3 linked regions of the Struthio camelus genome follow. The protein of the gene in region 2 purifies or fractionates together with the protein of the main gene of each other region. This does not show direct contact. Links are inferred from orthologs where the notes say so. Each region holds a gene or a part of one and is shown on either strand. Other genes may lie near its edges. The genes, in order: RRM2, CCNF and NUSAP1.

The links.
Region 1: the proteins of CCNF (region 2) and RRM2 purify together in Homo sapiens (affinity purification with western blotting; 5 studies listed by BioGRID and IntAct, with this or other methods). This does not show direct contact. The link is inferred for Struthio camelus from reciprocal best matches to the Homo sapiens genes CCNF and RRM2.
Region 3: the proteins of CCNF (region 2) and NUSAP1 purify together in Homo sapiens (affinity purification with mass spectrometry; 3 studies listed by BioGRID, with this or other methods). This does not show direct contact. The link is inferred for Struthio camelus from reciprocal best matches to the Homo sapiens genes CCNF and NUSAP1.

The regions. Positions count from the first base shown.
Region 1 is NC_090944.1:24,608,027-24,615,865, forward strand, and holds the start of RRM2 (ribonucleoside-diphosphate reductase subunit M2), read right to left. Parts: upstream 5,195-7,839; 5' UTR 4,961-5,194; coding exon 4,868-4,960; intron 4,785-4,867; coding exon 4,707-4,784; intron 4,541-4,706; coding exon 4,409-4,540; intron 4,132-4,408; coding exon 4,015-4,131; intron 3,493-4,014; coding exon 3,359-3,492; intron 2,203-3,358; coding exon 2,108-2,202; intron 1,306-2,107; coding exon 1,172-1,305; intron 752-1,171; coding exon 647-751; intron 513-646; coding exon 399-512; intron 1-398. UniProt on the Homo sapiens protein: Provides the precursors necessary for DNA synthesis. Catalyzes the biosynthesis of deoxyribonucleotides from the corresponding ribonucleotides. Inhibits Wnt signaling.
Region 2 is NC_090956.1:21,000,879-21,008,717, reverse strand, and holds the start of CCNF (cyclin-F), read right to left. Parts: upstream 3,683-7,839; 5' UTR 3,622-3,682; coding exon 3,609-3,621; intron 1-3,608. UniProt on the Homo sapiens protein: Substrate recognition component of a SCF (SKP1-CUL1-F-box protein) E3 ubiquitin-protein ligase complex which mediates the ubiquitination and subsequent proteasomal degradation of target proteins.
Region 3 is NC_090946.1:41,225,719-41,233,557, reverse strand, and holds the start of NUSAP1 (nucleolar and spindle-associated protein 1), read right to left. Parts: upstream 4,427-7,839; 5' UTR 4,332-4,426; coding exon 4,239-4,331; intron 2,806-4,238; coding exon 2,740-2,805; intron 1,620-2,739; coding exon 1,428-1,619; intron 356-1,427; coding exon 187-355; intron 1-186. Other genes in the region: OIP5 (protein Mis18-beta), read left to right, coding at 4,712-4,994, 5,229-5,295, 5,877-5,999, 6,552-6,633, 7,498-7,656. UniProt on the Homo sapiens protein: Microtubule-associated protein with the capacity to bundle and stabilize microtubules. May associate with chromosomes and promote the organization of mitotic spindle microtubules around them.

The sequences.
Region 1 (7,839 bases), on a different chromosome or scaffold from region 2:
AATTCTATAGTCACTATGGACGTTCAAATCTTGAATACAAGATAGCATTAGAGAGATCAGCTGAGAAGAAAGCAAAGAGAACCTAGTGGCAATATAGTTGGGGTTACTTTACAGTGAAGAGAAATCCCTGCCCCAGGCATTCTCTACTGTATTCATTCCTTGCTTTTAGCTGCAGCTGCTTCCAAGAATAGGCAGAAGCACAGTAACTTTTACACACAGGTTTTTTTAATTTTATTAACAGCCTTTTTGCTTTTCCCTCTGTGGGTCTCCCAAAAGGACCTGAAGTGGACCTGCTAACTGGATTTAGAAGTTAAACCAATATTGCTGCAGCTGTTTTATGGTTTAGGTTTCTGGAGAAAATTAAGTTAAAATGTTTTTCTTGTGCTTATTAGCCTTACCTTGTTAAATCCCAGTTCCAGCATAAGTCGGTCTGCTACAAATTCTATGTATTGTTTCATTAAAGTGCAGTTCATACCAATCAGTTTTACAGGCAATGCCTCTGTCAAGAATTCCTGCAGATAACAAACACTTAATGTACAGAAACTGTGGCATTCATTTTGTACTGTCTAGGGTAATTTCACACCCAACAGTTCCCCAGCTTTATGCTTAATTATGAAGCAATTTTAAACAAGGAGCAGGCAATTACCTGTTCTATGAGAACAGCATTCATTATGATTTCCTTAACTCTCTCCTCTGATGGTTTGTGTATCAAGTGCTTGAACATGAGGCAGGCAAAATCACAGTGCAAGCCCTGGAAAGAAGTTTCAGAAAATCATGTCAGGAACACTGATTTTGAAGAGCCACACAAATCAGTGGCTAAAAAAATCCCATATCTATATACCATCTTTGCACTTGCCATGTATTTTTTTAAACAAGCAACTTTCTGCCTAACCAGACAGAGGTATAACCAAGACAATACAAGCTGCACTTCCTACAAATGACACATGCAAGAATTGGTGGGAAACCTTGAACTATTATTGAGGAAATAAAATGGTAAGTATATTCATTCACTGGCATAAGATTCATGATCCCACATGCATTTACACATGTTAGTAAGCTTTACAGACTGTTTATAAACATACTCCTATTTTGAAGTATAGGCTCCATTTGAACATCATTACTTTGAGCTACTGTGGCACAATCATCTTAACTGTTAGAATTTGATCTGTACCTCATCTCTGCTGATGAGTTCATTAGAAAAAGTGAGTCCAGGCATTAATCCTCTTTTCTTCAGCCAAAAAATTGATGCAAATGAGCCAGAAAAGAAGATTCCTTCCACTGCTGCAAAAGCTACTACACGTTCTCCTGTAAGAAAAGACTGATTTCACTAACATGTAGAAAACTTACCAGGATTAAAACTCAAAAGTTGTGAATAGACCAGTGAACTGAGTCTTTCAAGCAGAATGAAAGCACTGCTGCTCAAGTGTGCTATAGTGTGTCCCTGGAAATGGTATAGTAAAGGCTTCTGTCAAAGCAAAATACTTTTTAAACTGCAAAGCAAAGTAAAAACTAATTAGAGGAGGTGGTAGGCAGCTGAAGCCAGCACTCCTTCCCCCAGGTTAAATGTCATACCACCTTTTCCCCCATAGATTACACACTGAACAAAGAACAGTCATCTTCAGTGTCAGATTAAAGTCAGTGACTGCTCATCATTGCTCAAGTGAAGAACTTTGTGCATGAGGAACATTAATAGCAGTGAAATCGCTGCACTCTCTACCATCTCATTTTCACCTTTTAAGCAAGGCATCAAAAATCAGTAAGGCAGATGAGCCATAGCCTCCAACTGAATGTGTCTACCAGAGAGCAGAGACCAGTGCAGTTCATGACACAAGAAACAGTTGCAATTTGATCATACAGAGATTGCCACAGGAGCTACCGTTAGTCAAAATACTAGCAGTTTTAGAGATTTGCATCATCAGTTTATCGGCAAGACAAACAAGATTTTTTCATCTCCAGAATTATACCAGCATTTTCTAGATAGTGCTTACTCATACCCTGACAACAATAATCCCTGTGAACTGTGAGGAAGTCTGGACAAGTTCTGGAAAGCGGTTCTTCCATTCTTTTAGGGAAGAAATTTCACTTTGCTTCTAAAAAACATACTCACCGTATGTTGCTTGCTTGTCCCCAATCCAGCGCATGGCCCAGTCAGCCTTCTTTTTAACACATGGTAGCGTCTCAATAGCATTAAAAAGAAATTCCCTGAGAAGCATATAACTCATTAGGACAAGATTTCAGCAAAGCAACCAGTACAATAAGCCTTCACAGCTGTAGATGGCCTCATTCACTTACAAGGGCTCTGTACCTTCACCTCAGTATTTAAGCTCCCCTCCCATTTTATTTTGTACCAAACCTAGCTGCATTTGTGCTCATCTACCTTTGCATGACCTTCACATTACATCAACAGGAATTCACACAAATTCCCATGACAAAACCAAATGGAGTACTGATTCAAGAAGTATGCTTGAACAAGTCTCAAAACTATAGAGCAGCTGACCTCCACTTTTCCGTGACAAGGCATCTAACTTTTCACATAAGCAATTCTTCCTTAAAAATTTAAAGCAATTAAGCACCCACAAGTAGGAAAGAGTGATGTGGCTAGTCAGCTTTCTGCAAAGTAACAGCAATTAAATAAGTACCTCTACACTGCAGCTAGCATTTCAGTAACACTTTACCCCAGTAGGGTGCTTGCCTCCCATGACATTCCAAAAATAACTCGAAAAAGCCCAAGTTGCTCAAAGCCCTGCACTGAGTTTTAAGAAGATCCCATTATTGAACTGATCCACCTTGTTATGGGAAAGTTACATTTTGGTGATACTTTTAATCACTATTCTTTTTTTCAAGCATGCAGCTTTATCTACATATAGCTGTCAAAAAGGAAGTTTGCCTTTATTATTTTAGAAAGAAGTCAAAAATAGTCAAGTCTCTAACAGCAGCATATGGCGAGTGCATCAGTCATTAACTAGATACAGTGAGTATTAGAGACTATTTTATTTAAAAAGCTGTTATCCTTAGAGAAACTTCCCTACATAGCTACCTACCAACGGAGTGGGTCCTCCGTAGCAGAGCTTACTGTGGTTTAACATACGCCCTTATTTGACCATGTTACCTGTTAGATGTTTAGTCTCATTCCATTATTTCAATGTTAAGTATCTGTTTTTACTCTGAACCTAGATGAAGTCTTGCTCATACATTTAGGAGCAGAAAGATATTTAAAAGTCCATCTTAAGCAGCATTTCAGTGATATTTTAATCTAATTCAAATCCTAAAGTTAGACTAAAGTCACAAACACGAATGATGCACATCATGTAAACCTCAGTTATCAGTTTTGAACCTTTCATTATCAAGCAATACTAACCTCTCTTTTGAATCTTTAATGTATGTGTCAATAAGAAGACTGTACATTTCCGAATGTATATTTTCCATGGCAATCTGGAAGCCATAGAAACAACGGGCTTCTGTGATCTGTACTTCTTGACTGAACCGCTCCACCTAGAGGAAAAAAACTTCATTATCAATGGTTCTGCAAACACTAACTTGTATATTAAAGGTATTGATGCTTTCTATGAGGAGCTACATTTGCTTAGCCTATAACATTATCTTCAAACTAAATCCACATGTTTAGATTCTAAACAGAAACGTTAAGAGCACCAGCATCTTAAGTAGACTTGCAGCTGTAAAGTTGTTCTTTGGTCCCCAAAGGAAGAGAAGAACATCTTAAATTGGCTTTGCCTCCCTTAAGGGAACACTGACAGATCTGAAGCAGAGCAAGGGCTCTGAGTAGGCTAGTTGTTACTATAAGGCAGTGCTTTCTGCTCTGTGGGGAAAACGGCCAGCCTCTTGAATTTAAAAAGCATCCCCCCCACTTCACTTAATAACATAAGGCAATATTAAAGTTTTTAAGCACAGGTAAACAAGCTAGATAGGCCAGCAAGTACCTCATTAAATATGTAGTTATTTGGTTACCTTCATTTCATGGAATAGGTTATTTCAGGGCCCTTTCTACACACTCACCAAGTTCTCATTCACAATGCCATCACTGGCAGCAAAGAAGGCAAGGACATGGGAAATGAAGTATTTTTCCTCAGGCTTCAGCGACTCCCAGTGCTGGATATCCTTTGAAAGATCCACCTGAAACACAAGGGAAGCAATGAAACAATAAAGGGCTCCTAAGAGAAACAGACACTTCAGGTAAAGTGTTCGTACCACAGTCCGAGGTGCTACCCTGCAAGCAGGGTGCACTTTCAGCAGCATGTTAGGGAAGTGTTTTGAGATGTTACAATCCCCTTAGGGCTACGGAAAAATCAGGTAACCTTGTCCAGCTTCATTATTAATATTATGGCAGGAGAAGTGCCTTTGAAGCAGGGATGAAGCTCCCAGGGGCTCCCGGCACAGCCCCAGCCCTCACCTCCTCGGCAGTCCAGAAGGAGGCCTCGGCCTTCTTGTACATCTGCCAGATGTCGTGGTACTGGATGGGGAAGATGACAAAGCGGCGGGGGTTGTCCCGCAGCAGCGGCTCCTCCTCGGCGGCCCGCGGCACCTGCGGGCACAGAGCGGCTCGGCCTCAGCCCCGGGCCGCGGCGGGAGGCCAGCGGGGGCGGCGGCGCCGCTCGGCCACGGGGCGCCGAGGCGGCGAGATGCCCGCGGGGAAGGGAGGGAGGGAGGGTCGGTCCCCACGCGCAGCCCGCGCCGGGGCCCGCACTCACCGGCTTCCCCTCGGCCTCCTGGAAGATCTTGCGCGCCGCCTTGCTGGCCAGGACGCGGGTGCTGCTGAGGGCGGGGGGCTGCGGAGAGAGCGGCGGTGAGAGCCGTGCGGCGCTGGGGGTACCGCGGACGGGGGGCGGCAGGAGGGGGGGGGGGAACCCACCGTGTTCTCCTTGTCGCTCAGCGCCAGGTTCTTCAGCGGCGACAGGCGGGGCTGGTCGTGGCGGGCGGAGAGCGGGACGCGGGAGGACAGCATGCTGTCAGCAGCTCACGGCGGGAACGCGGGACGCACCGCCGCCCGGCGCCGCCCCTTTATATCCCCTTCGAACTTGGCGCCAGAACGCCCGGCTGCCCACTCACAGCCCGAGCCGGGCGCGCGGCGCCCCCGCCCCCGCACGCCCATTGGCTGCAGGCGCGGCGCGGGCCCAGCCTCCCATTGTCGCCGTGGCGGGAGAGGAGGACCTGCCCTTCGCCCCGGCGCTCCCGCCGCGGGGAAAAAGGCGGGAGAGCGCGGGAGCCCCGCCCCCGGGCGCCTGCCCCGCCCCCCGCACCTTGGGGGCTGCGCGGGGGGAGGGGCCGGGCCCCGGGGCTGTGAGGAGCCGTTACCCGCCTCGCGGCCGGCGGTGCGGGCTGGTGGCCGCCGCCGCCGCCGCCCCGGGGCCGCCCCGCCCCGTCGCCCTCGGGGGAGAGGCCTGCTGCCGTGCTTCCCTGCGCCCTGGCCTCGACAGGGCCTGGCAGCTGATGAAATTCTCCAGCTGAATTACTGCGCCGGGTTGATGCCGGTGTAGCTTCCCACTTGGGGCTCACAGGGGCACGTCTATAGCAGCGTCGCTTGGCTTCAGAGCCACCTTTATTCTAGATTAATGGTGTCAGTGGGGCACCTCACGCTAATAAAACTGCTGCACATTGCACCAGGGCATGTCTCCGTGTGGATAAACCCTACAGGATCTTCGGTTTTGCTTTCTCCAGGCTTGAGCTAATCTTCTGGAAAGCTGTAAATGCCTCCATTTATCGCCGATGAGCGTTTAGGGGCACAGGATTTAATGTAAAACATAGCAGTTATTTCACAGCTGAATAAAGGGTACATAAAAATATATTTAAAAAAAAAACCCCGCAGCCTTGATCACTTGTGGTATGCATAACCTCTTCTAAAGAGAAGCGTGGCTGTGGATCCTAAATATGGTATCTGGCTTTGAAAGATTTGGGATGTAATAGGGAAGTGAGTAACTTAATTCCAGATTTTGGCTTTAAGGTAGAGCTTTGGAAATGCCATGTTTCCCCCCTCCCTGCCTTGCTCTTCCCCCCTCTCTTCTGATCCCTCCCCCATCCTGATACATTTTCCCTTTCCCTCCACAGGGATGGCTGCATTTGACAGAAATTGTTTTCATGGAGAAGCAGCCTCCATATGCCACCCGGTTTCATATGGTTTAAATAAATAGTACAAGCAGGGAAGAAAATAGCAATGAAAAAGAAAGAAGATTCATCTGCTTTAAAAAGTCAATATTTATTTGACACTAATGAAATCGTTTTTATTTAAGCAGCAGCTGCATTTCCCTCTTCCTCCCTCCCCACACCAGCTCACTCTAACTTGCAGATATTACGAAAGAAAATAGCAGCGGGCCGTGACGTGTCCCCAGGCCAGTCCCAGCCACGACAGGAAAGGTGTGTGTCTTGCTGAAGCTTTGAACGTTGTCAGTGCAGCCTGACTCCACAGAGGGAGGACCTGCAGACGGACCAAAAAGTTTTCTCAGGGACAACAGAAAGAGAAAGTACGTTTTCATAACTCACAAAGAGCAGCAAAAAGCTGCTAACACAGCTTTAGGCTGATTGCTTCCCTTGGAGCCCCAGAGCAAGAGGCCCTCCTCCGGTGGTTCGCACTGCTGGCGTTACAGCAGCACTGCATATGGCTTGTGCCGGGTCTGATTCACTGAAGCATGTCCTCAGTTTTAATGAAACTAGAAGCTTATTGGGACTTTTAGGCTCTTCAGTGGTGTGGGATGCCACTGAAGTCACTGTCACCCAAACAGAAGCCCAGCCTGCTACTGGGACCGGGGGCCATGAGTTATGAGACCCGGTGCTGCCCAGGGCATGGCTAGAAAATAGGCAGGTAAGGCAGGAGGGGAGCAGACGACCAGGCCCCCAGGGAAGCCGATAGAAAGTGGACATTCAGGGACCTGCCCATCGCTGCAGCCCCTTAAACCATCTTTTCGACTATATGACAATACTGTGTACTGCTTTAGTGAGCAGATTTGGACAAAAACCAAGAGTATTCCCTTCTGACATCATCATCTAACACTGCGAGTTCAAGTGTGTTACTCATTTCAAAACTGCGTCAAGATCACTGAATTTGGGTCTGACTCTCCTCAGCGGGAGCATATCAGAAATGGCCAGCGGAATAAGTCCTTCATCAAACTGTGGTATTTGTCCTATGTAGGACGCTGGACTCACTGCAGGCATCCACCCGGGAGATGCTCTGTGGGACCTTCTGGGCTAAATACATATATATATATGTATATAGCAATCCCAGGACAGAAAGCATCACAAAAGCACATCCCCTCAAATAAGCTTCCAATCTAAGATAAAATGCTACAAGCCATGACTGCCATCTGCCACAGACAGAACAGGAAGCCATGAGACCATCACTGCTATCCTAGACACCTGTAGCAACCAGGCATTTGGTGCGCCTCAGATATATATACTCAGATAGAGGTGGATTCTGGCCTAGAGGCCAAGTGAGGGCCAAGGAAAGGCAAAAACAGCAACAATACCTCATGCTTTTTGCTTTTTGGCTTGCTTCCAGTCAGGGACTTCGGGAAATGTTTAAGGCAGTATCTTCAGTTCCTGCCCAGGTAGGTCTGTGTCTGAGGACAGTGGCTCTTGCTCCAGGCCTTGATCCTCACCCTCTCAGAGAAGAGGCCAGGCTTCAGCAGCCAAACCCCACTAAAACATGGACATCGCAGCCCCTCTTAACCCCAGCCATTCCAGAAAACCAGTTACCCTGAATAAGCGCTGAATTTAGCTCCAGTTTATTCTGATGGCACAGACATGGTGCATAGATAGCAGAGGTGTTATTGTCCCATCCAGGCACTGGTTACCCCCAGCAGAGGGGAGGCAGGAGGTAGCCGAGTGGGCTAT
Region 2 (7,839 bases):
AACACCTCAGTTAGCCACGAAACAGCAGGAGGAAAAAAACCCACTATATACACATATATAAACATGTAGATGGGCAGTGTTACTGTACCTATTCTCCTGCAGCATAGGACATCACATATGCAGAGACTTTAAAAATAAACACATTTAGCATGAAGTCAATGATTTAGCAGTTTTAGTTATGAAATGAATGATTATTTTAACTGATTAAGCTGAGAGGCTCAGAAGGGCAATTGACTTCAGCAATTCAGCTCAAGTCCTCTCCCATTGAGCAGAATCCCTCCATAATCTAACTCCATCATTTTAATGATTTTAGTTAAACTGTCACTTCATTTACCTCCCCCCACATCCTGATTTTTCCTTCTCAATTGACAGTAGTCTTCAAAACGTGCCCAAAGAGATTAGTAACTTAAGACCTGCTAAACTAGCTCAAGACAAAAGCCTATCTTTCTAAGAGGCCATTTGTCTACCACAGACACTTATGGAAGATGCCAAAGAAGCAGGAAGCCCTTTCTTAAAGTTTCAGCATGTCATAGCATTCAGGCTGAAGCATTACCTACATCTTCTGTTCCTGTTGAGGCAGAGTTTACCCTCAATGCATTAGCCAAGAGTAGAAAACTACCTGACACATGAGACGAAACTGAGAAAAGCACGCCAGTTCCACTTGCTGGAGATATACCCCATGGTAGAAAGCCCAGTTGTTTTCCATCTGCTGAGGATAGCCTCTCAGTGGCAGTCCAAACACTGCACTCTCTCTTGCCTGTGCTCAGGGGCCCCAACACTAACAGTATGTTAGAAATTCAAATCAGTGAAGTTGCCAGGAGGAAAAGAGCATGCTCCTTCACCTCAAGACTGTACCTGGTAGAGAAGGCTCACTCCCACATTATTGGTTGCGTAGGAGGATCCCCCCTCCCCCCCAATGATATTTCATGCTCTGCCTCCTTTCAGAGCTCTGTCAAGCAATCACAGAGATATCAACCTTGCTCATTTCAATGTCAACCTCTTACAAAGGTAGCAGTAATCCACTCAAAATAGAGCTCTCAAGAGCAGCCCATGCAAGCAACAGAGGTCCATTTCTGCGACAGAAGAGGGCAGATACAAGGGCTCAGAAAACAAATTCTGAAGTGAAAGTTTCAGTCCCACAGTGCAAAGGACCATGTTGATGCCTTTGCTAAGGAAGACTTCTTGCCTGTATTTTTCAAATCTGGCTTCTAAGTCTTATACAAAGAGATTATATTTGGAAAACGTAATTACTGACTTCATTCTAAAAAAAGTCATAAAAGATATAGACTCCATTAGACAGCCCATTACTTTGCCTCATATAGATGCTAACATTTTTACCCTATTTCCACAGGTTAATTTCTAATTTGGAGTCTTGTTGAAGTGAATAAAAACAGAACAGTAGAGTCAAAGTAGCAATATAATTTATATGCCAAACCACAGCCTATTATCTATGAAGTAAAACAATCAGACTTATACAGCCTCTCTAGATTACATGGTCAAACGCATAAGCTGAGAGGATGGCGCAACTGCCAAGTTTTCTTCTCCTCACAATGAAATTAAAAGTTGGAAAAGCCAGAGTTGAAGATAGATAATTTTAATGAGGGAAGTATTTTTCCTCCATGAAGTGTGTGTTCTCCCCGCCCCAGCCTACTCTACTACTTTCAGTGTTTACCAAGACATGGTTATAACCTATCACGTGGAAAGCCTCATGATCTAGTGCAGCTTTCTGGTTCTTTACAGAGAGTTTGGATGAGAGGCTGGAGAAGCAGTAAGTTGCATTTATCTTTGAGAAGAATAGAGCACATCACCTGCTGTAGATGCAACGAATAGGAAAATATATGGACTGTCCAGTTATATCTCTACCTCTGACTGTGCCAGATCCATAGAACTAGGAAGCATCCAGATTTACGGACTGCCTAGCCAATGTAGAGCTTATAGAGGATTCGTTCAAAAGCACAGTTACTGCATCAGCTTCAATTACTTTATACAGTTTTTTCAGTTTGCAAAGTAAGTTTTATCTGGCTTTTCAGCAGGATTCTTAGGAGTAGCTTGCAGATTCCCAAGGAGTTGGGAACAGGTTGCCCAGAGAGGTGGTGGAGTCTCCTTCGCTGGAGATATTCAAAACCCGTCTGGATGTGATCCTGGGCAATATGCTCTAGGTGACCCTGCTTGAACAGGGAGGTTGGACTAGATGATCTCCAGAGGTCCCTTCCAACCTAAACGATTCTGTGATTCTGTGAGTTCATAAACAACAGCTAGAAAGCCACTGTGCTGAAACACCCTTTTGTACTCATCTTGCTATGCACACTGTTAAATCCCTTAGCATTTTGGGTTTAGTGGAATAAATCAAACTGATACACTATAGCATCTGCTCTCCCAGTATAGCACGTATCTTCCTGTTACCTGCCTTTGAATAACAGGCTATTGCCATGAAAATAAAAACCTTTGACACGTGCAAGGAAGAATACTGCTCTCCTTCGCAACCCCCTTCCCTTTCTGGAGCCGATTTCAGCAGAATTATTGCAATGAAAAAGAGAAGGACATCTATACTGGTATGCCAATTACACCTGCATGAACATGGAATGACTCAGGAGCATGGGGTTCTCAGGCAAGCTAGGAAACAGAAGTTTGTTTCAAAAGTTAGGAAGCCATACAGGGAAATCTGTTTGTTACTTCACAGAATCACAGAACCGCTGAGGTTGGCAGGGCCCTTTGGAGATCCTCTAGTCCCACCCCGCAGCTCAGAGCAGGTCAGTTATGCAGGCTGCTTAAGGCCACGTCCAGTCACATTTTGATTATCTCCAAGGATGGAGACTCCACAACCTCTCTGGGCAACCTGTTCCAATGTTCGATCACCCTCAGAGTAAAAAAGGCTTCTTTTCACATTTAAATAAAATCTCCTGTATCGCAGTTTGTGCCCAACAACTTCATAGCTGTCCAGTATGTTATTCTGTACGCAGCCTACATTTCTTTACAGCTGGCTTCAAAATGAGAAGCAAAAGAGCAATGAAACACACCCAGGAGTTATAGACTATTTGCAGAGACTGCAGCAAAAAAGACTAGAAAGCACAAACTCAGGTAAGATCCTAGAACATCCATGTCCCAGTAACACAGAAAGCCGCACTTCAAGAGTCATTTCTGTTAAAATAAGTAGGCCTGCAGCGAGAAGCCCTTGGAAGAGCTGGGAGGACTCCAGCCGTAGCCGAGCACGCCCCCAGGGCAGAGCACCGGCCCGGCCCCCCGACACCCGCCCCGGCGGGCAGGCCGCGTCGCCGGCGCCGTTTGAATTTCCGCGCGCGCCGCGGAGGGCGGTTCGCGGCCCTGGGGGCCATCAGCCCGCCGCGGCGCCTCGCAGCCAGCGCGGGCCGGGGCTGCCCGCCGGGCGGGGGAGGCGCCGCGGCGGTGCCCAGGCAGGGCTGCGGGACAGCAACCCGCCTCCCGCCCCGCAGCCCGCTCGCCTCGGCTGCCCCTCTGCGCGTTCAGAGCTCTCCTCAGGAGGGGCCCGGGGCGGCGCGGGGAACAGCCGCCGGCGCCTCTCAGAACTGAGGCGGGAGAAAGCGGCGCCCCCGTTGCCCGGCCCAGAGCCCCGCGGCCCGGTCCGCACTCACCACCCGCCTTCATCTCCGCGCGTCCCCGGGGAACCGAGCGGCACCAACAGCCGCCGCGTCCCAGAGCCGGCTCCGAATGACGCGCGCCGCGCGGGGGCGGGCCCCAAAGCACTGGCGGCGGGCGGGGCTCCGCCCACAGACCCCGCCTCCTCCGGCTCTCGGCCCCGCCCCCTCTCGCCTCAGAGAAGGTCAGCGAAAGCGTGCGCGACGAGCTCCGCCCGGGCCCCGCCCCCCCGAGGCGTCGCCCCGTCCGGACCGGAACTCCTCCCCGCCTGGGATAGGCCCAGAGCTTGTGAGCGACGCCTACCAGCCGCGCGCACTTTTTTTTTAAACCCAGCAGGCGCTGTGATTGGTGGGGAGACTGGTAGGAGGTGGTGCCAATCCCGCCCCATGGGCCGTGATTGGGCGTTGAGGATGCGAATTCGAATTGGGGCAGTTGGCGGTTCGAGCATCTTATGGACAGGGCGACAGGGGCGCATGCTCCCAGGGCAGCCCTGCCCCCCAACTGGGGGACTGTGTGCCCTAACAGCGGGCGCCCGTGACGCGCCCCTCCCCCGCAGAGCTGGGGGTCATGTCGTAGTGTCACCCAAGCACACAGGGGCCATGGAGAGGGGGCCTGCAGCTTGCAGTTAGGGCACAGGGGAGGCCTCAGCCCTTCAGAAGGCTTGAGGGCCATGAGGCCCTCATGCCTACTAGGCCCCTGCTGGCAGCAGCCTTCCTGCCACCCCAGCACCTCTCACCCACAGCTGCTTGTGCTCACACACATGCTTGTCCAGCCAGGGGAGCTACACCACACTAAAAACAGACAAAAAACGCTTCTGGGCTTATTTACACTCATTTAGACTCCCAGAATGTCTGGGGCCTAAGACTATCAGTGCTGGTGCAAGAAAAGCAGAGGGAAGGCATGTCTGCAGGAGGAAGGAGTGGGAGAGACAGGCTTCTGATGCCGTTAACTGCAACAGCATCTCGCACTTTAACTGGATGCAGAACCCTGCCTTGCTCCTGCCTCTCTTGGTGTCCCGGTGTGTTAGAGAGTGAGGTGGAATTTGAAAGACAATTAGGAGTCAAAGTTCAAAACTGAGTCAAGAATTCAGGGGAAAGCCTAGGAACTAAGCAGGCAAAGAACAGAGAGAGAGGTAAAGAGGTGTCTTGAAAAGGCTGGCAGATGAACAAAGCTAACCGAGGGAAGATCAGTTTTACCAGTTATCTCTTTAGCTCAACAAAGCCTTTTGTGGGTCCTTTAGAAAACGATAGCAAGAAGAGGAGCTATCATTTTGTTAGGCATAAAATGACTATATTATGATTTCTGCTTGTGAGGAACTTCCCCACTGCTGTGTACCTTGAATAAGCATCATCAGTCTTAGCACGGTTGAGGTGTCTTCCTGGTAGCATTTCTATGAGTTTTTTTTAAAGGTCATCCCTCGATTTTATGAGTTCATGTATTTCTCAGCTTTAGGACATGAAATTCTGGATACTTTTCTGTGCATGCATAGATGTAAGGGATTCAGATAGCTCTAAAAATATAATTATCTCTCAAAGTAATCTCATTTCATGGCTGGGAAGGTGAGATAGAAAAGTTAGATGACTTGTCTAAGGTCACACTACAACTCTAGCAGTGCTGGAACTAGAAGCCCATTGCGTTAACCCACACTCTTGTGCAATGACCATGAGGGACAGCGGATGTGCCCACACTTTTTGAGAGCATGAACCTGTCTTTGTAATACGCATACCTTTATGTATAGGCTTTCTCCCGCATAGATCCACCTCCGCTTCCATCCACAAACCTGCATAATGTTCCTGGGGCATGCAGCAATTGCTGACATGAAAAAGTAGTATGGGGAACAAAGGGAATTTTTAGCTTCTTTTAACTGAGAAATATTTTGAAGTAAAAAGTTAATCATGCTGTCTCCTTCTCCCCCTCACAGCTGTTTCTGTCAGCTAATAAGTTGAATGAGCAAACAAAGCATGAATAATCACCTCCCCGCAAAGAGGTAAAGTACCACCAGGAGATGCTCTTTGAGTCACAGGTGATCCATAGTTTGCAGAGTTCCCTCAGGTCAGTCACACTCTTTCCAAAAGTTACAATGGGGGAGGGAGGCAGGGCATCGGAAAGGTTATAACAGAAAAACAAGTAGGCATAGGGAGAGATGGGAGTTAGCAATGCTGTAGCAAGAAACAGACTGTGACTCTAGATGGAAGAAGTGTGTGGAGCAGGATAATAGAAGCAGTGCCCAGATTTACTGGTGAGAGTATGCCCAACTTGAATGAGCACGTAAGGCCTGATCCAAAGTCAACTGTAATCCATGAGAAGGAGTCTCTCTGCATTTCGGGGTTTGGAGCAGGTCTACGAAGATGATGAAAGGATAAGAAATATTAGTCAAGGCAATATTCTGTCTTTTCTGTGAAAGTAAAATTTATGATTGGGATTTTCAAAAGCACTAAACTTTGGTCTGAATCAAATGGCAGAATACCCAGATGGTTTTATCACTGACATGAATAAGATCAGAGGCAGAGCAGTATGCGGGTGGCATTCATGTTGCCCAAACATGGCCATCTGACAAATTTTTAGAAACCCTGTGGTATCTACCACATTTGCACAGAGATGGCAAACATGAAACAGAAGTGAGACCTGCACCCTTTCCAAGTGACAGCTGGAAGCCAGGTTGGATTCCTTGTCTTTCACACTTCTGCACCTTCTCAGAAAGGCATTACACAACTAAGAATCTGTCCCTGAACAGGAATAAGGCTGTTAAGGATGTGTTTTAATCACTGTCTCCAATTTCTGAGTGAAATTCTACTTATTTATTATGTCTCTTTCTCCACTGAACAGTAGACAGATTGTGTTTCTCCTGAATCAGAATGCTTTTTTCCCCCCTTCACATCTGTTTGCTATGGAAGTGAAGAAAAACATAGTAAAGGCCTTTTGTTTACCTTACTGAGATTTAAACAAAGCTCAACACAGCTGTAACACTACACTGCCAAACCTGTGATTCTTCTGGGAGGCAAGAGATGTTGCTATGGTAGCTCAAGTTTCTATTAAGGTGTTGATCCTTCTTACCAAGACACTCAAGGGCCTGAGACCATGGCATCTAAGCAATATGGCCCTAGAAGAAGGACCATGGTCAACAGCTACATTCCCCTGGCAAAACAGAGTGCTTTATTTCCAAGACAAAGCTTGTCTCTGTAGGAGACAACTTTCTTAGAGGGCAGAAAAACTCTCGCAGAAACCTGCAGCCCATCACAAACCCTTTCTCCTCTGAGTGCTAGGTACAGTTTGCCATAAGCATATTTTTGAGTACAGAGACCACAGCACCATATACACAGTTCTTCCCCTGTGAAGGGAGTGAAAGGGAAAAATCCTCCTCTCCCTGGCAGCAGTACTGGACAGAAGGCCAGAGAAGGGGCAGAGTAAGCAGCTCTATGGCTGCTCTGGTGAAGAACAAATTATCTAATCAGAAATGTCTGTAATTTAAGGATTTTATTCATGCTTAGGATTTATTGTTTTATTTTTGCTGTTTTAGTCTTATCTTCAGGTGACATTATATAGTTCTATAAGTAAACTTACTGAAAATAACTTTTAATCAGGCATACACCAACTTGCATGTTTTTTAATCCATTTGTGTGAGAAAGAGGATTTATTGGTATAGAGATTATTACTCATTGATGTCCTCTTTCTCAGGAACTTTTAAGTCTTTTTAGATGGACATTCATGAAAGTCTTTTTAGAGCTAATGTATTTTTTCACCCTAGTACGTAGGATATGTGATCAGATTCAAATAGGTAGATTTTAAGGAGAGAATAGAGATGAAGAATTTCAGTCAAATAGGACTTTTCAGAAAGTGACAAAAGTAAATCTGAAGGTAACATCCCATATAATGTCCTCAGCTAGTGAATAGGTTAACAAGCCACTTAATTCAGACATTCAGAATGTGTTCGGTCTGATGAGCAAATCGTAGACAAGCAGCTGAGCACTAGAGGTTGCATTACATGCCATTCCAAAAGTAATTTTATTTAGATTTACAGTAAAAAGGCGTGTGTATACATTGCACAGTGGAGTTGCATGGTTTGCAGAGGTTTTTTCTCCCTCAAAGTAGCACTGTCGAAGTTGGTTCCAGAATTGAAAACAAAATGACTGTGACATTCTAATGCTCCCTGCAAGTTAATTAGACATGCTGAAATTTAGGAATAATTAGCTCAGATACAGCAACATCACAGCTATATTGCCTTCAAGA
Region 3 (7,839 bases), on a different chromosome or scaffold from region 2:
ATAAGCAAACAAGTACATAAGCCTAAATTACACAGATTCTGTTCAAGTATCCTTACTCAAGTACTGTTGGTCCATCAGATCACCAGACATTCCACAAAAATCTTTGTGGACACAATCAAATGCACTTTTTGATTATTTTAATTAGTACGAATGACTAAACTTACTCTGTTGGAAGTTTTTACTTACATTCCACTCCACTTCTCTTAGTGGAAATCTTCTCTGGTTGCTCTTTCTGCCCCATACCCATCGCTGGATTCTCTATAGCTCTCTTTTTAGTTACTGATTTATCGTTTTGGAATACTTTCTGTCCCTTTTCATGCTGTGGCACTTTGTTTTCTTTCATTTCTGAATGCTCCTGTGGTTTAAACATACTTCGGTTAGGCAGATTTTTTCAACTGGACATAAGGAAAACATTTTCCACAGGACAGACAAGAGATTTTCTGAAATCCAACCTGAATTATAAAGCACTTTAATATTAAATTGATTTTGTTGGCAAAACATAAATTCACTGACCATGTCACTTTTTACTACTGTAGCTGTGGTTACTGTAGGCTTTTGCTTACTCAGACATTTTGAGAAATTTTCACCTAAAAAATGATTTCTCTTATTCTCATTCTTCCACCTTTACACCAGTAAAAGTCTTTCATAAAGTTCTGTCTTAGTTCTCCCTCTACTTGCATGTGATTTTAGAGGGGAGAAGAAAAAAGTTTTATCCCCACCTCACCTTGAAAACCTCCTCTCCCTCAGTCATACAACCAATACATATTAAAAAGAAAAAAGGGGGGGGGGGGGGGGGAGAGAGGAGAAAACAACCAGCCGAACACACCAAGACACTCGCCCCACATACTTTGAAATTGAGAGGAATGGGAAACCTCCAGCCCACCAGAGCAATTAATCTGCCTTGTAGTTAGTCTGTCTCTATGTATAGTTCTTCAGAAAATAATCTAAGAGTTACCTTTTAATAGAAAAAGGAATTCATATGAAAAGGCAATCACAGAGTTTCTGTGAATTTTTACTATACAGGAAAGTGAAAACAGCCTGATTTTAGATAAGTTTCAAAACTTGCCTAACAATCTCGTGAATACTATGATGAACCAATGAAAATAGTCTTATATTCTGATAAAATAATTTGAATGATACAGTCTTTATTTGATCTTTTTCTTCAATAATATTCCCTCCCCCCCAAAAAAATGTACAAAAAGAACAAATTATATGTTCATTTTGGAGTAGTGTATAGTCAAATTGGACAAAAACAGAGCTATAAAGCACAGAAGACCAATAACACTAGTAGGTCTGCATACCAAAAAGTGAATGTTACCTGTTAAACACTGGTAAAATGAATCAACTCCGTTTAACTTATGCTTCACTACATGTGTTTAGCGGAGGGAGGACGGGGCAGACACTCAAACCCAAGAAACGTAAATCACCTCTTTCTCAGCAGAATGCCCTGTATTGTCTTCACTGCTGTTAGTTTCCTCATTGGAATTGTTTTTTTTTCTGGTTGCTTTCTTTTCTTTTCCACGCCTTTTTGTGATAAAACACACTGGATCAGGCATAAGTTCCTCCTGACTGTTCTGTTCATCCAATTCGATGGAAGCAGATGCACTTTCTTCAGAGTCCTATATCAGATAAGTATCATCATATGAAACATATCTGACATATACTACAAAGAGACAGCCTCAGCGTTATTATCGGAAAAGGCGTGGTCTTTAGTAGCACAGCAATGAATGAGTGATATCTAGGTTTCCTTAAATAGCAAGCTGATTATTGGAAGACTGAGACAGAAAACCTACAGTTGTTTCATTATATGCACAATATTCTACAAAGACATTTAAAAAAACCTAATAGTTTATATTGGAAATTTGACTTGCATGATGCTGTGATCTGCCAAGTTTTTACATTCCTATGGAATAACCTTAAAAAAAAAAAGAGAGAGATACAACAACAGCATTCTTCCACACTTATCATACCAGACTGTAATCAGATGTTGGAAAAATATGTAATATATTCAAGTTGTTACTCATGCGTCGAAGCTTGATAAAATTAAAAATAAACTGACAAGGATTACACAAGCTCTCCATATTTTAAAAGAAGCAGATTATAAAGGAAGCATTTAAAATATATGGTGTGTTTTAAATAGATTCTAATTTACTTTTGTCAAAAAATGTATAAACATTCCATACTCAATGAAATACTTACAAAAGGGAAAGCTTTAGGAAAAAAAAAAAAAAATCAAGAAAATAACATATTAAGAGATGATTAAAGGAAAGGTTCTCTTCTCTTATAACATCAGTAAGTAAACTGTAGTAAATGGAGAATGCTTTGAGATGAATACCCAGTCCCTCCCTCATCTAGGCATTTTTATATTTAGTATTGACTAGCACTTGGAGCTAAAGAGGCAAAAATTAAGATTTGGTCAATGGAAATTGAAGTGTTAGCGTTCACAGGGGATAATTTTGTGCTTACACTGAAAAAATACACTGCTGTTTTTGGCATGAGGGGGTGGGGGGAAAAAATAAAAAAAATCAGCCTTCAGTCATACACACAACCACTTTAAAGCTAATATCAACACATCTATTTCAATCAGTATGCAAGTATACTGAACACTGTTTAAAAAAAATATATTTTTTGTTACAGTTTGCACCATGTTAAATGCGACATTCACTACATGCCATACTTTACTAGTTACAAAGTTAGATTTATCTTTCTTAAAGAGAATAGCTAATTTCTCATTATTACCATATTTTCATTTTCTTGTTTTGCTCCATGAAAATGTTGCTTCAGTGCTTTCAACAATTTGTCTGCCTGCAGAGAAATCAAAACATATGAACTAAAGATTATATTAAGTCATCAGACACTTGCACAAACCCTATAAGCACCCTAAAAATCAGTCCAAACTAGCAAAGCACTTGCTGAATCCAATAAAATAGAACTCTTAAAGCATGCTTGAAGCCTCATTAAAGTCAGTCAGATTTGAGAACATACTTAAGGCCCAGGCTAAATATGTAGCATACAAAGAGAGATTTCCCCGACCAGATTTCTTCTGGTCTAGCTATTGTCCAGAAAGGTCGATTGTTCTAGGATAAAAGAAACTATTTCAGCAGCCTAACTGAATGCTAATAACATTGCACCCAACTTCTCTAATAACTTTTTCCCATTTCACACAATACTATATGGAAAGCATTCTCCTCATCCCTTCTGTATATTCACATAGAATAATAATAAAAAAAGACACACCATCGATGTTTTAATCTATGAATAAAAGACTTTAACTGGAAAGGTCAGCATAAAATCAGTTCTGAACTAGAAGTTACACACAAAGTAACAGAGAACCAAAACCCCAAGCAGAAGCCTCAGTCCTGTGAGGACAATTAATCCTTGATCCAAATTACCACATAAGTGGTGCATCTGGGGTTTCCCTCTGTCTGTTTTTAAAGGCTGTACGCCTTCTCGCACTGGTGGTGCGGGTCTGACTTCTGCTGAGGGATTTACCAGCGGTACCTGCCAAGATCAGGCCAGGCTGGGTCACTGTCATATACCCGTAGGGCCCTAGGCAAAACAGATGGGCACATGCTTTAACTCCTTGTTCTTAATTCCTATCGGTAAGTAAAAAATAATCACTCTCGACCCTTCAGGCTCCCCGTGGTTACCACTCTTCCCAGCCCCAGTCGGATGAAACGCCCGCGTCGGCGGGTACGGCCGGCGCGGCGGGGGCAGCGCGGGCACGGCGGGGCTCCACGCGCCAGCGCAGCCCGGACGCGGGGCGGTCGGGGGCCCGGGAAGAAGGGAGCCCCGCCTTCTCAGCTTCGTCTACAGTCTCACGCCCCTAACTGAAGGCGGTAAGGAACGCTTAAGCGTCAAACTATCAAACTGCCGGCTCCACGCCCCAGGCCCGAGCCGCGCCTCTGCCGACACCACCTCCAGACCGCAGGTTTTCTCATCGCAGCGGCCGAAAGCAGAACAACGACCGCGGGGCCGCCGGGGGCACTCGACCCCCACGACGCCCGCCCGCCCGCCCACACTCCCGCCGCTCCCGCTCGGCTCCGCCGGGCCCCTCGCTCCCCCCGGCGCCGCCCTAGAGCTCCCGGCCGAGCGCAGGGGCAGCGCCGGAGGCGAGCCGAGCCGAGCCGAGCCGAGCCGAGCCCGCCCGCCAGAGCGGGCAGCCCGGAGCTCCCGCCAGCCCCGCGCCGCGGCGCCGCTCGCTGCATCGCGGCCGGGCAGCCGCCGCGCCGCCTCACCCGGAGGTTGGCCTTCAGGCCGGCGGCCTTCGCTATCCGCTGGAGCTCGATGTACTTCAGCGAGTCCAGCTGCTGCAACGAAGAGAGCGCCATGGCGGCGCGACCACCGCCCGCCGGCAAGCCCCAACCGCCGCCTTTCGAATCTCGCGCTCAACTGACACGGCGCCTTGCCCCGCCCCCGCCGTTCGAACTGGCCCGCCGCGCCCTCCCACTGGCTGATCGGAGCGAAGGGGACGGGCCCGCGGGCAAGGTAACCACCAATAGCGGCCCGGCCACAGGGATCGTGTTTGTTTCAAAGGCGATAGGCGCTCCCGGTAAGGGGAAACCCTGCCCCCGCCTGCCTGATTGCCCAATGGTCTCAGGCGAGGAGGATTGACTTGTCTCTCGCCCAGTGGCAACGCAGAGCTGTGTCCCACGCTCCAATGGGGAGGCCGAGAAGGCGGGTGCCGCTCTCGAACGCAGGGCGGGAGAAGATGGCGGTGAGGCGGCGGCTGCAGGAGCTGTTCCAGGACCCGCAGCTCGGCGGGGTCATCACCGTGGAGCGGCCGCCGCCGCCCCCCCCCGCACCGGCGCGGGTCCAGCCGCCGCCGGCCCAGCCGCCGCCGGCTGCGGGCTCGGCGGAGGCGGCGCGGCGGCGGAGGCTGCGGCCGGAGGAGTGGGCGGTGTTCCAGTGCCGCGGCTGCCGGGCCGTGCTGGGGGACTCGCTGCACCTGTGCGCGCAGGAGGAGCGGCGCCTCGGGCTTCTCGCCTGCTTCAGTCAGTGCTGCCGGGGCCGGGGCTGCGGAGCGAGGGGTGTCCGGGCTGGCGGGACAGGGCCATAAGCTTTTACTAATGCAGGTTTTAATACCGGAGCGGAAACTTCCAGCCCCGCGTTAGAAAGAGGCCCGTTGTGCGCCTCGGCGGGGCTCTGCGTCGCCTGCCGTGCTGGGGGGCGCTGGGGCGACCGGCCGTTGCTCTGGGGTTGTTCACTGGCTCTGCCTTTCTTCGTAGAAGTCACAAATGAGGTTGCTTGGGAAGAGTCGCTAATGATCGGCCTTGAAGGAGCCCTCCTAGGCTGGTAGGTAACGGACGTACCTCTTGCTTTTGACATCAAGTTTTAGTCATCAGATGAAATAGGTGGACCAAAATAGGCCTCCCCAAAGTCAGAGGGAAAGAGTTCCTGCACGTTTTCTAGCTGGGGCACTGAGATGTCTCGTGGAATTGATAAAGTCCTAAGTGATTTTTGGACCTGTACTTCATAACTTTGAACTGAAAATTCTTTTGTATATGTGTAGCTTTAATTCTTATCAAAATCAGAAGAAGTTTTGTCAGCATTTACCCTTGTTAACGGAGAGAGAGGAATGTTTGAGCAATGCAGTAAAAGGTAGCCTATAGCCTTTTACCCTTTTTTTTCCTCCTGCTCCTGCCTTTTAAGCATATATCATCTAAATTAATATATAAATTATATATTTTATTTATATAAAATATAAATTTTATATATACGAGCATATATATAACACATATATAGAAAAGTAATATTATGCACTTTGTTTGCTCTTCTGGTAAAACTAATAACCTGATGTCCTCTGATTAGCAGGCAGTATCTATGGTTTCAGAAGCTTCTGTTTAAACATACTATTTTCCCCTTTCTCCTTTCAGCACTTTCAATGCATTATCCTGTCGTTCATGTGGCTTGATTGTGGGCTTCATTCTGTATTCTACTTTCAGTGATCTGGCTTATCTCCGAGGCTTCTTCTGTTTCTTCAAGGACAGCATCCTCTGGTGAATATGCTGTTTTTTTTAATGGTAAATGACTTCACAGGAGTTTGTAAGTGATTCTGTTTTAATCAGATAGTTAGTTATTAGTATAATTAATCTACAGCTAACAGAAGCTGTTTTACTTTTGAATGCATTGGTGCATGGGTTTTAATATTCTTTCTATTTAAATTGCTCATGTTGGCACAATTCCATTTGATTTGGCTTACATTTTTAAGTATCCTCATGTAATTTCAAGGATTAAATTTAAGTGCTTGCAGTATGAGATCAACTTTACTTCCAGATCCACTTAAGTAACGTATCAAAACGGTTCTGTGCTAGATTGAAGACTTGATTATAGAAACTATAAATTACTTTTAGTTGATGATGAGAGATCTTATGATTTGAAAGTAAAACTATTGTTATGTTTTAAATATTTTCATAATATATTGACTACTTTTGACAGCAGTTATACGATCTCCTTAAAATCATCTTAAATAGTCTGTCTAAACAATTAATACAACCATGTTTTTTAAAACTGTTTTTCTTGTCTTTCCCCTTTCCCTGCTTGTCTTCCAGTTATCTCTTAAAAACTAAAATGATAATAGAAGCCTCTAAGGTAAATTTTCCTGCTTTGAGCCTAAAGGAAGAACTCGGAAAAGTAAGGTTCTACATGACTTTGTATGTAAAATGCAAAAAATGCCAAATTTTTTTTTAGAGATCAGTCCAAAAATATTGTTTTTTTTTTTTTTTGCTTGTTTGTTTTTAAGTGCAGATGATGTAGAAGATATTGGATTGTAATGTAGCTATGATACACGTGCGGAACATACAAAACATTTTCCGTAACAACTTATCTGCAAAACATAAAAAGTTCTAGCTAACTTTCTGACAAGTGTGTTACCCTGTAATGAGTATGTATATTTTTGTGGTACCTGAATGTCATCAAGAGAGAAGAAGGGATTTTTCTGCCTCTTGAAAAGAGAAACCCAGAGAAATCTATACTTCATTTTTATGTGTTTGTCATCTGTTTCCTCACTCCCTTCTTTATGCTCCCTTCAAAGCACATACGCTATCCTGAGTGAAACGTAACATAACAGATGAGTATATTTAGGTGTACCCCTAAGCAAAGATGAAACAGTCTGTCCAGATCTTGTCAAAATAGGTCTCTGGCTTTGTAAAAGTTGTAATGAGTTAACCGGGAAATGTTATGTTGGTCATACTAAGGCTTCAGCAGCTCTGGCTGCTTACTTAAGTGGAAAATTTCCATGCATCCCTGAAAGGGCTTCTGCTGACACACATTCATCTTATATGTGTAACGGAAGCTTCTGATTTGGGTGCTAGTTTTGGCTGTACTAAGCATAGGGTATAGAGATATGTCGTATTAGACACTAGTGATACAACAGAGTCCAGTTTCATTTTCCATCTTGAAAGTCAGCTGCTTTTTAACTACTTAAAGTGGGGTACACATCTTGCAAGGACCTGATGTTAGGACAATGGTATTTTTTTTTATTTATCTTTTTTCTAGCTAAAAGAAAAACTTGTGGTGGTCCACATGCGCCTAGAATTGCTGATGAAGAAGCTAGAGGAATTGAACCAACAGAATAACGTGGCAGAAAAGCAGAGCACTGCATCAGATGCAGCTGGTCTCATGCCAGGATATGCAGTAGTCAAGATGAACAAATAATATGCCTTTTTAAAAGAACTACTGGAGTCGTTTCTACATCTCTGCGGGGTTTGTTCATTATGATGAAACAATGCACAAAAAAAGGTCAGAGACTTAATCTTTTACTTTATGTGCGTATAGAAAGAACTTATGCTAAAGTGCATCTCTTCAATCTAGGGGGACCATCCTGAAGCTATGCTGTGA